3 linked regions of the Saccharomyces cerevisiae S288C genome follow. Changing the gene in region 2 together with the main gene of any one other region gives a genetic interaction. Each region holds a gene or a part of one and is shown on either strand. Other genes may lie near its edges.

Region 1 (2,966 bases), on a different chromosome or scaffold from region 2:
ATTGCTTTGCTTGAACTTCCTGTTGGTGTCTGATCTCCTGAGCCAAACTCTCAAAATGTTGAACTAGATCAGAATCCGAACTCTGAATATTGTTGGCACTATTAATGCTTTGGGAAATCTCTTTGGGCAAGTTCTGCAGAATTTTTTGTAAATCAGTAGCATTAGAATTGTGAAATAGGTATCTAACTCCAAATGCTAATGAGATGAGGGCTATTATGGCGAATATCATCAACCTCCTGAAACTGGAGGCTCTTTTTGTTGTTTTGGCCATCGTTAACCGCTACAGTCTATATATCTATCTGCTGTCTTCCGAGTAGAGTGCCTCTTCTCTGCAAGAATACGTGCAAAATGGAAAGAGAGGAATGTTCATTATGGTCACTGTTATTTTTTCACTTTCTTCGCTGCTGGGAAATTTCGTTATACTTATCGGAAAAAACATGTAATACGCTATATAGTAGAAATAAAAAGGTAATATAAACATAAGGTTAAAATTTGAAAGATTAAGCAAACAGCGACGTGTCCACAACGTGAAACTTCCGTACCATTTCTTGCAACAATTGGTAAACAGCATGACATCTTGCAGGCAACTCTTTGTTGCTTGCTTGCGACGCCTCCTCCTTTGTCAAAGGTACATTAATGGAGATGACCACATCCGTGTCAAACTGGGTTAATCTGATCAACGCTACGCCGATGACAACGGTCTGTGCCAGATCTGGTTTTCCCCACTTATTTGCTACTTCCATAACGAGTCCGGTGAACTTGGTTCCTTGCTGAACAGTGTCTTCTTGTAAAGCTTCCCATTTGGTGGTCCCGTTCAACTCCGTCAGGTCTTCCACGTGGAACTGCCAAGCCTCCTTCAGATCGCTCTTGTCGACCGTCTCCAAGAGATCCACGATAATGCTTTCATTGGTGGCTAGTCCATCTTCGAATTCTTCTTCATCGCGACGGGAATTGACGTACACCTCCTGTGTATCGGGGACTTCTCTTAGAGTAGAAGCGTCTATAAACCCAGGTGGGACGACAGTAGTGATGGCGCCGCCGTATAATTCGACTTCCTTGTTGTTCATGCTTCCTTGATGACCAGGGTAGGTGTCAATGAGAGTGCATGTGGAAAGTTGCACCGGTTGTGAAATATGAGAAGCCTTTTCAATCTTCATATGCAAACCCACACATGCATCGTTGGTTTCTGTCCACTGCCACTGCAATGACCACTGGATAAGGGGTCTTTATAAGAGAACACATATGAAGAACATGAACGTTCTTGGACAGAGCCATAAACAGCAATTGAAGACAACAAGAATAGCGCAAGTCAAGCGATGAAGGAGTCAGTCCAAGAGATCATCCAGCAACTCATCCACAGTGTCGATTTACAGTCTTCCAAGTTCCAGCTGGCCATTGTGTGCACGATGTTCAATCCTATCTTTTGGAACATCGTTGCAAGAATGGAATACCACAAGCATTCTCTCACCAAGATGTGTGGTGGGGCCAGAAAGGGCTGTTACATGTTGGCGGCGACCATATTTTCGCTAGGTATCGTCAGAGACATGGTGTACGAGTCTGCATTGCGTGAACAGCCTACGTGTTCTCTGATCACGGGCGAGAACTGGACCAAGCTGGGTGTGGCTCTCTTTGGTTTGGGGCAAGTGCTTGTTTTGAGTTCCATGTACAAGCTGGGTATCACAGGGACGTACTTGGGTGACTATTTCGGCATCCTGATGGATGAGAGAGTCACCGGCTTCCCCTTCAACGTTTCCAACAACCCCATGTACCAGGGTTCCACTTTGTCCTTCTTGGGCATAGCCCTTTACAAAGGAAAGCCTGCGGGGCTGGTTGTTTCTGCCGTAGTTTACTTCATGTACAAGATCGCTCTTCGTTGGGAAGAACCTTTTACTGCCATGATCTACGCTAACCGTGATAAGGCCAAAAAGAATATGTAAGTGCTCTATTTCTATATATTCTATAATGTTAGAAGCCTATGCTATTACCGTTTCTATATAGCTCCATAAGCAATTTCTTCGCGAAAGTGAAAAAAAAAAATTTTAATGCGATGCTCTATTTAACAAGGAATACAATGAGAGCATCTAGCGCACACAAACAACTACAAAACGCAATAACGACACAGCAAGAATGAGTCTCAGCACAATCATATGTATTGGTATGGCCGGATCCGGTAAAACAACTTTCATGCAAAGGTTAAACTCCCACTTGCGGGCAGAGAAAACGCCACCATACGTAATCAATCTTGATCCTGCAGTATTGAGAGTCCCCTATGGTGCAAACATCGATATCAGAGACTCAATCAAATACAAGAAAGTGATGGAGAATTACCAGCTAGGTCCGAACGGTGCCATTGTCACCAGTTTGAATTTGTTCAGCACCAAGATTGATCAAGTTATTAGGTTGGTGGAACAGAAGAAGGACAAGTTCCAAAACTGCATCATCGACACTCCAGGCCAAATCGAATGTTTTGTGTGGAGTGCGTCGGGTGCCATTATCACGGAATCTTTTGCCTCCAGCTTTCCCACAGTGATTGCATATATCGTGGATACGCCTAGAAACTCATCCCCAACTACATTCATGAGTAACATGCTGTACGCCTGCTCCATTCTGTATAAGACCAAACTTCCCATGATTGTCGTTTTCAACAAGACCGACGTGTGCAAGGCAGATTTTGCTAAGGAATGGATGACGGATTTTGAGAGTTTCCAAGCAGCAATCAAGGAAGATCAAGACTTGAATGGTGACAATGGGCTGGGCTCCGGGTACATGAGCTCATTGGTCAATTCTATGTCACTGATGCTTGAAGAATTCTATTCCCAGCTAGACGTCGTGGGCGTTTCCAGTTTTACCGGAGACGGATTCGACGAATTTATGCAATGCGTAGACAAGAAAGTTGATGAATACGACCAATACTATAAGCAAGAACGTGAAAAAGCATTGAACCTAAAAAAGAAAAAGGAAGAGAT
Region 2 (3,076 bases):
TAGAGCCTTCATTGTTGACGGCTTCACTTGTGATCCACTCTTGGTTTAAATGCTTTGTATTAGTGTAAGCCTGAAAATGCTCCCAGAAAGAATCTTCCGCTAATGTAACGTTGGATAGCAATGAAGTGCCTTTCACCAACGCTAGATTCAAAAACAGCCACCATAAATACGCAGAAAATTTCATAGTACTACTTTGTGTGGCCGTTATCTATATTAGAAATGCGTTGCCGTTCACTTTTTTACACAATCCTTAAACGACATGCATCACACGGTTTTCAGCTAACCCATAATAATTTTCTTTTTCTTAATCAACTTGATATTGAAAAAGTTGTAACTATTAATGAAGTTTTTCAATAATAGTATACATCCAGATATATAAAAAATAAAATAAAACTAAGCTAAAACCATGTTATCTAATGTACAAAGAATGAAAGAAGATAGAAAAAAGAAGAATGCGTACAAGAATCGTGTATTCCTAGGACCTTTCATATGAAAATTTTCTATTCTTCAACATCGTCTGGCAGGACACCGAATCTATTTGTAGGAGTCTTCTGCACTGTGTTATCCTCTGCTAAAGAGTCAAAAACTTCTGGGATCTCCTCATCTTCCTTTTCAGCATTACCTTCACTAGCACTTTTTGCCTGCACAGACAACCCTCCGTTCAAAAAAGCCAGCTCTTTTTTTATAGTCTCATTGGTGCTATCCCAGCCAGCCTTTCTTGTATTTTGAATGTACTTGGCACGAGAAATGGACTTGGCAATTTTACCGTCCAGACGATTGGTAAAATTCAAGGCCTTCACTAAACGATCCCTGTCCATGGATGAAATAGAGTTGGCCAGTTTGTCTTCCAGAGCCTTTTTATTTAACTTCTTGCCCCTCTTACTTTTATTGGCTTTCTTAGATATCTTTGCTTCCAGCAATGCCTCATTCTTGGCTGCTGTTCTAATCAAAATATTAGTCAAATCGGTTTTTTCAGCTCTAGGTAGTTCACTTAAATCCTTTACCTCTGGTTCAAGAGCATCCGATTGTCTAGCAGCTCTTGAATTCTTTGATATTTTCTTGGCCATGCTTTGTTTTAGACGATATCTTACCAGTATAGTCAAGGAAAAAACTACCTTTTGTCGTCTTTGTTCCCACATTCAATACTTCTAAAGGGTCCTTAACCAAAAAAATTTTCAGCTCATCGCCAAGTTGAATAAAGGAAAAAAAAAGAAGAAAAAAAAAAATAATATAGTCGCAGAAACTTACTTCTGTCTGTTTCATAACAACAAATATTATAAAAGAAAATACATAATCTTAGATACTACAAATGAGCCGCGAGGGGCCCCAAATATTATTTTGTCATTACTTCATTTCACCGTGATTGTTAGGCGTCAATAGAATCTTAACGTTGGATTCCTTGTGATCCATCAACTCTTGGAATCCCTTTTCCCAACCGTCCTCAATCCTTTGCTTACCAGTGATTAGTTGCTTACAATCTTCCATGGCGATGTCTCCGTTGTGGATGGCACGAACAACTTCTTCGAAGTCTTCGACAACATAGCCGATCGAACCAGTCATAACTTTCTCTTGGAGAGTCACATCCATTGGTTGGAATGGGACAGGTTTTGGACCCCAAACTGCAATGTTGGTGGCTGTCCCCTTGAATGTTAATGCCTTCAAAGAGGTTTCGAAAGTAACTTGAATACCAGAACAATCATAACTGTAATCAAACCCATCATGGCTCTTGGTCAAACCACGTAGTATCTCTATAGATTTATGACCGTGCTTGGAGGGATTGAACACCTCAACGCCCAGTTTCTTGGCCATTTCTATTCTTCTCTCTGCAATTTCAGACACTACAATTTTACTAGCCCCCATTCCCTTAAGTACCAAAATGGTACACAACCCAATGGGACCTGCACCAAGAACCAAGGCTGAACTGCCTTTTTTGAAACCAGAAATCTTAACAGCATGCCAGGTGACAGAAAGAGGCTCAACTAAAGCAGCCACATCTAGAGGAATTTCCTTTGGAACCGGGATAATGTGATGTTGAGAGACTACGACTTGTTCAGCAAAGCCACCACTGATCACACCTAGTCCTACAAAACCGGCGTGGGTACATAGATTTTCACTGCCCCTCTGACAAGCATCACATGGTTTGGAATTGTAAAATTTGGAGTGTGGCCAGCAATGCAGGTCCGCACAACTGCTGGCAGCATCAACGACCACGTGGTCGCCAACCTTCACCTTTGTCACTTTAGGACCAACCTTGGAAACAATTCCTGACATCTCATGGCCCATTGCCAGAGGTAAAGCAGCGTTGGATAATTTATGGCACTCTCCATCTTTAGGCATGAAGATTGGACCATCCAAGTACTCGTGAAGATCCGAGCCACAAATCCCACACCAAGAGACGTCGATAATAACCTCATCGTCGGTTTGGATTTCTGGCCTAGGGATATCATTAGTGAAGTGAATATCACCCTTCTTGAAATATGCCAAAGCTCTCATAATTAATTAAAACTTTTTTTAGTTCCTTTTTTTTTTTTTTTCTGACTTGGTCAATCGTACTAAGACTTTTTAAGAAAGAAGAAGGGCAACATCTGCCCAAAGGGCTTGAATTGGCCATTGTCACACGAAGTATCTGCCCCACTTTTATATGTCGATTTTTTTTTCTACGTTTCCACCTATTATCATATCAAGAGAAACAGGCTAGGACCCCGTAAGGAGGAAAGAATAGGCAAGGATAGGAAAACACCGGTTTCTTCTCTCCGTCGAAACGAAAAGGGGTCAAAGTAGCGTGAGCAAATCCGGCTTGATGTTAAACTGCTGCCCTCGATTGGCTCGATAAATGTACATATGATGTATATAAAACACTGTCAAGAGAATGCTATGAGAGAAAGAAAAGTTAGTAAAACAAGAAGACCGCGGGATTAACACGAGAACGTGAGTACTCAATCACAATCATGTGTGACGCAGTTTAGCCTCGTTTATTGATTCTCGTAGTCTTTCTTGATCTTTCCGACTGCTCAGCTCGGAAATTTCTTTCTTCTCATTATCGGCTTCCCTGTTCAACTCTCCGTGATTGTTTGGA
Region 3 (3,427 bases), on a different chromosome or scaffold from region 2:
TATGACCGTTGTGTGTATGGAAGGCCCACAATTCTCCACGCGCGCTGAATCCAAGATGTACAGAATGTTTGGTGGCCATGTTATTAACATGAGTGTTATTCCAGAAGCCAAATTGGCGCGTGAGTGTGAGCTGCCTTACCAGATGATTTGTATGTCTACCGATTACGACGCATGGAGAGATGAGGCAGAACCTGTTACCGTAGAAACCGTTATTGGTAATTTGACGAATAATGGGCGCAATGCAAATATTTTAGCTTCTAAGATCATCGTCTCAATGGCCAAGGAAATCCCAGAGTTCATGCATACTGGCGATGGGCTGCGCGGTTCCATCAAGAAATCTATCTCTACCAAACCAGAGGCTATGTCCAAGGAAACCTTAGAAAGACTAAGATACTTATTTCCAAACTATTGGTAATGGTTGCCGCTAATCATATGTAAAATATAAATAGGAGAGAAAACATATATAGCTATGGAAAGTATTAAATGTTTTTTTGCTGTTTTTATATTTTCCCCCTTGGGGACTGTGAGTTCATCATATATGCATATTTGCTACTTGGAATGTAGCCCTTCCTAGTTACAGGGGTATGCGGCGAGTTATTGTCATTGTTAGCGCTCACTAATGTGCTACTGATACCGCTATGCCTCTGCAGTGTGCCAAATACATTCTTTGTGTGTAAGGATTGAGATTGTAGTTTCGTCTGTTCCTCCGCCATTTCCCTTTGTCTTGCTTTCAAAGGCGTCTCTAAGCCTTTGAAGAGATATGCTGGATGATTTTTGAGATTTGTTTGAGGAATATGTGTTTTGTTCTGTGCCATTTGGCTGATCTTAGAAGTGGATACGTAGTGGGGGTGTTGTGGCTGCAACCCAGTATCGACAGATGATTGCATGTCTACCCCCAGGAGCTTCTTTTGCCTGTCAGTGAGATTCAAATCACTTACTTTGACGGTGGATAAGAGCTTCCAAAGAGAAAACAGTATATTGAGCGAGATTAATAGGTGGAACAAGTAGTCAAGAAGTTCTGCATTCAACCAACTGAACGTGGTGTGATATATGATGTTAGCCTTCTTTAACGTGTGAAATGTCAACATGTACAGATGGATTCTGGATAGCCGGTTGCAAAACTGTCTCCCAACATGAGTGTTGTTCCAAAAGAACTTGATGAACTTCACCAGCAGGTTCCAGAACGCAAACGCAATTACGTTTGTCATAATTCTCTGCGTCTCCATTTCCTTGTTTACCGTTCGCCGTGATAGCTCCTTGAGCACAGGACTTTCAAAGTTGCCCAATTTAAACATTGGTGTGTCATTTTGTGATTGTGATGAGGGTTTGCTGTCTGTGTCCGGCAATGGTCCCGGCACGTCATTATCGTCCAGGCCCAATTGGCCCGCCTGAATCTTCATAGTTCCCTCTATTATTTTTTTGCCTCTGCGGATATATTAAAAGTCTGTATATTGTCAAGTTCTTATAATATAAATCTTTTTGTTCATCATAACCATCTTATTAATTGTTATTATTTCTATCATTATTACTATTAGCACAAATTTCATTTTTTTTTTTTTTCATTTTTCTTTAGACTTTAGCCCTAATTAGACCTGAGAAATATTATTATAACCTGAGAAAGGTTTATAAAAAGAACATTATAACCTACAAAAAAGATACTTAAACCCTGAAGTTAATAGGTTTGGACCCTCTTTTTTTTTTTTTGCTTTTTTTTAGAAAACCTCAGTATTCACAGTCTAAGGAACAGATAAAGAGAAGCTTTATGAAAGCAGTCCACAGTGCCACGAACTTTGACATATATAATTGACTTGTGGGGGCTACCGACTGGCTTATATTTCTAAAATTTAGAGATTTGATTATCTTTTTCGCAGCGCGTAAAAGAAACCCACGAAGCATCGCTTAATTTACACATATTCTTCGTTCTCCCCTTTTGGAGAGGATTTAAGCTAAGATATATCTTTCTTCGAGCGCAGTGCTGCTTTTGAGTTCTTTCGTTTTAATTTTCCACTTATTTGGCAATAAAAACTGAGTGAAGAGTGCTTCTCTGTCTGTTTTAGGGAGCTTTTTCAGATCATCATCAGATGGGATTTATAGCAAATATACTGTGCTGTTCTTCAGATACTTCCAAAACACATCGTCAACGCCAACCACCAGAAACTAATCACAACCGCAACCGCAACCGTAAGCACAGTTCAAACAAAGCTCAAACTCAGGGTCGTAAGCAGAAGGCTACTCCAAACGGCGACAAGATGCAATATTCCACACCGGAGATCCTTTTGTCTAGTTCCGATTCAGGCAGCAATGCGGGTTCCAAGACAATGCAGGAGAATGGGAATAGCGGCAATGGAAAACTAGCACCTTTATCAAGAGATCACTCCAACAACTCGTACGATGAGGAGAAAGAATATGAAGATTATAATGAAGGAGACGTAGAAATGACGGAGGTTAACAATGCCGGAGAAGAAGAAGAAGAAGATGACGAAGCAAAAGAAAAGCAAGACCATGTCGTTCATGAATATAACGTTGACGCAGATAGAAATTCCAGTATTAATGACGAGGCGCCACCACAACAGGGTCTGTATCAGGTGGGTCAAGAAGATATGAATCCACAATATGTCGCCAGCAGTCCTGATAATGATTTAAACTTGATACCTACAACGGAGGAGGACTTCTCTGACCTGACGCATTTGCAACCAGACCAGTACCATGCCCCCGGATACGACACTCTGCTACCACCCAAGTTGCAAGAATTTCAACAGAAAAAATGTCTGATATTGGATCTAGACGAAACTTTGGTACATTCTTCCTTTAAATATATGCATTCAGCTGATTTCGTTTTGCCCGTCGAAATCGATGATCAAGTTCACAATGTCTATGTTATTAAGAGGCCAGGCGTCGATGAGTTCTTGAACAGGGTGAGTCAACTATACGAAGTTGTTGTGTTCACGGCAAGTGTTTCGAGGTATGCAAACCCCCTTTTAGATACGTTGGACCCTAATGGAACCATCCATCATCGATTATTCAGAGAAGCTTGTTATAACTACGAAGGTAACTACATCAAGAACTTATCGCAGATCGGAAGACCATTGTCCGAAACAATCATCTTAGATAATTCGCCGGCCTCTTACATCTTTCATCCGCAACATGCTGTTCCGATATCTTCTTGGTTCTCTGATACTCATGATAATGAGTTACTAGATATTATCCCACTTTTGGAGGACCTTTCATCAGGAAACGTGTTGGATGTGGGGAGCGTGTTGGATGTGACGATATAGATTTCTCAGTAACATAAAAAGCAGGCTCTTTTTATTACCCCCCCCTTCGGTTATATGTTTGGACGAACTCATGTTTCTCTTTTTATACAGAAGACTTCACCGGATATTTATAAACTTAATGAATTAATTTGCTTATTACATGTATCAATTGT

Evidence for each region. A genetic interaction does not mean that the proteins touch.
Region 1: mutations in ECM1 (region 2) and MOG1 together harm fitness more than expected from each alone (negative genetic interaction), as found in Saccharomyces cerevisiae (4 studies listed by BioGRID).
Region 3: mutations in ECM1 (region 2) and POM34 together harm fitness more than expected from each alone (negative genetic interaction), as found in Saccharomyces cerevisiae (6 studies listed by BioGRID, with this or other methods).

What each region holds. Positions count from the first base shown.
Region 1 is NC_001142.9:571,286-574,251, reverse strand, and holds MOG1 (Ran GTPase-binding protein MOG1), read right to left. Parts: upstream 1,158-2,966; coding exon 501-1,157; downstream 1-500. Other genes in the region: HOC1 (alpha-1,6-mannosyltransferase), read right to left, coding at 1-271; OPI3 (bifunctional phosphatidyl-N-methylethanolamine N-methyltransferase/phosphatidyl-N-dimethylethanolamine N-methyltransferase), read left to right, coding at 1,317-1,937; GTPase NPA3, read left to right, coding at 2,128-2,966. UniProt on the Saccharomyces cerevisiae protein: Involved in the Ran-GTPase system for nuclear protein import and poly(A)+ mRNA export.
Region 2 is NC_001133.9:34,572-37,647, reverse strand, and holds ECM1 (Ecm1p), read right to left. Parts: upstream 1,140-3,076; coding exon 501-1,139; downstream 1-500. Other genes in the region: CNE1 (calnexin), read right to left, coding at 1-184; BDH1 ((R,R)-butanediol dehydrogenase), read right to left, coding at 1,345-2,493; putative dehydrogenase BDH2, read right to left, coding at 2,947-3,076. UniProt on the Saccharomyces cerevisiae protein: Pre-ribosomal factor involved in 60S ribosomal protein subunit export from the nucleus.
Region 3 is NC_001144.5:178,207-181,633, forward strand, and holds POM34 (Pom34p), read right to left. Parts: upstream 1,401-3,427; coding exon 501-1,400; downstream 1-500. Other genes in the region: MEU1 (S-methyl-5-thioadenosine phosphorylase), read left to right, coding at 1-415; PSR2 (putative phosphatase), read left to right, coding at 2,082-3,275. UniProt on the Saccharomyces cerevisiae protein: Functions as a component of the nuclear pore complex (NPC).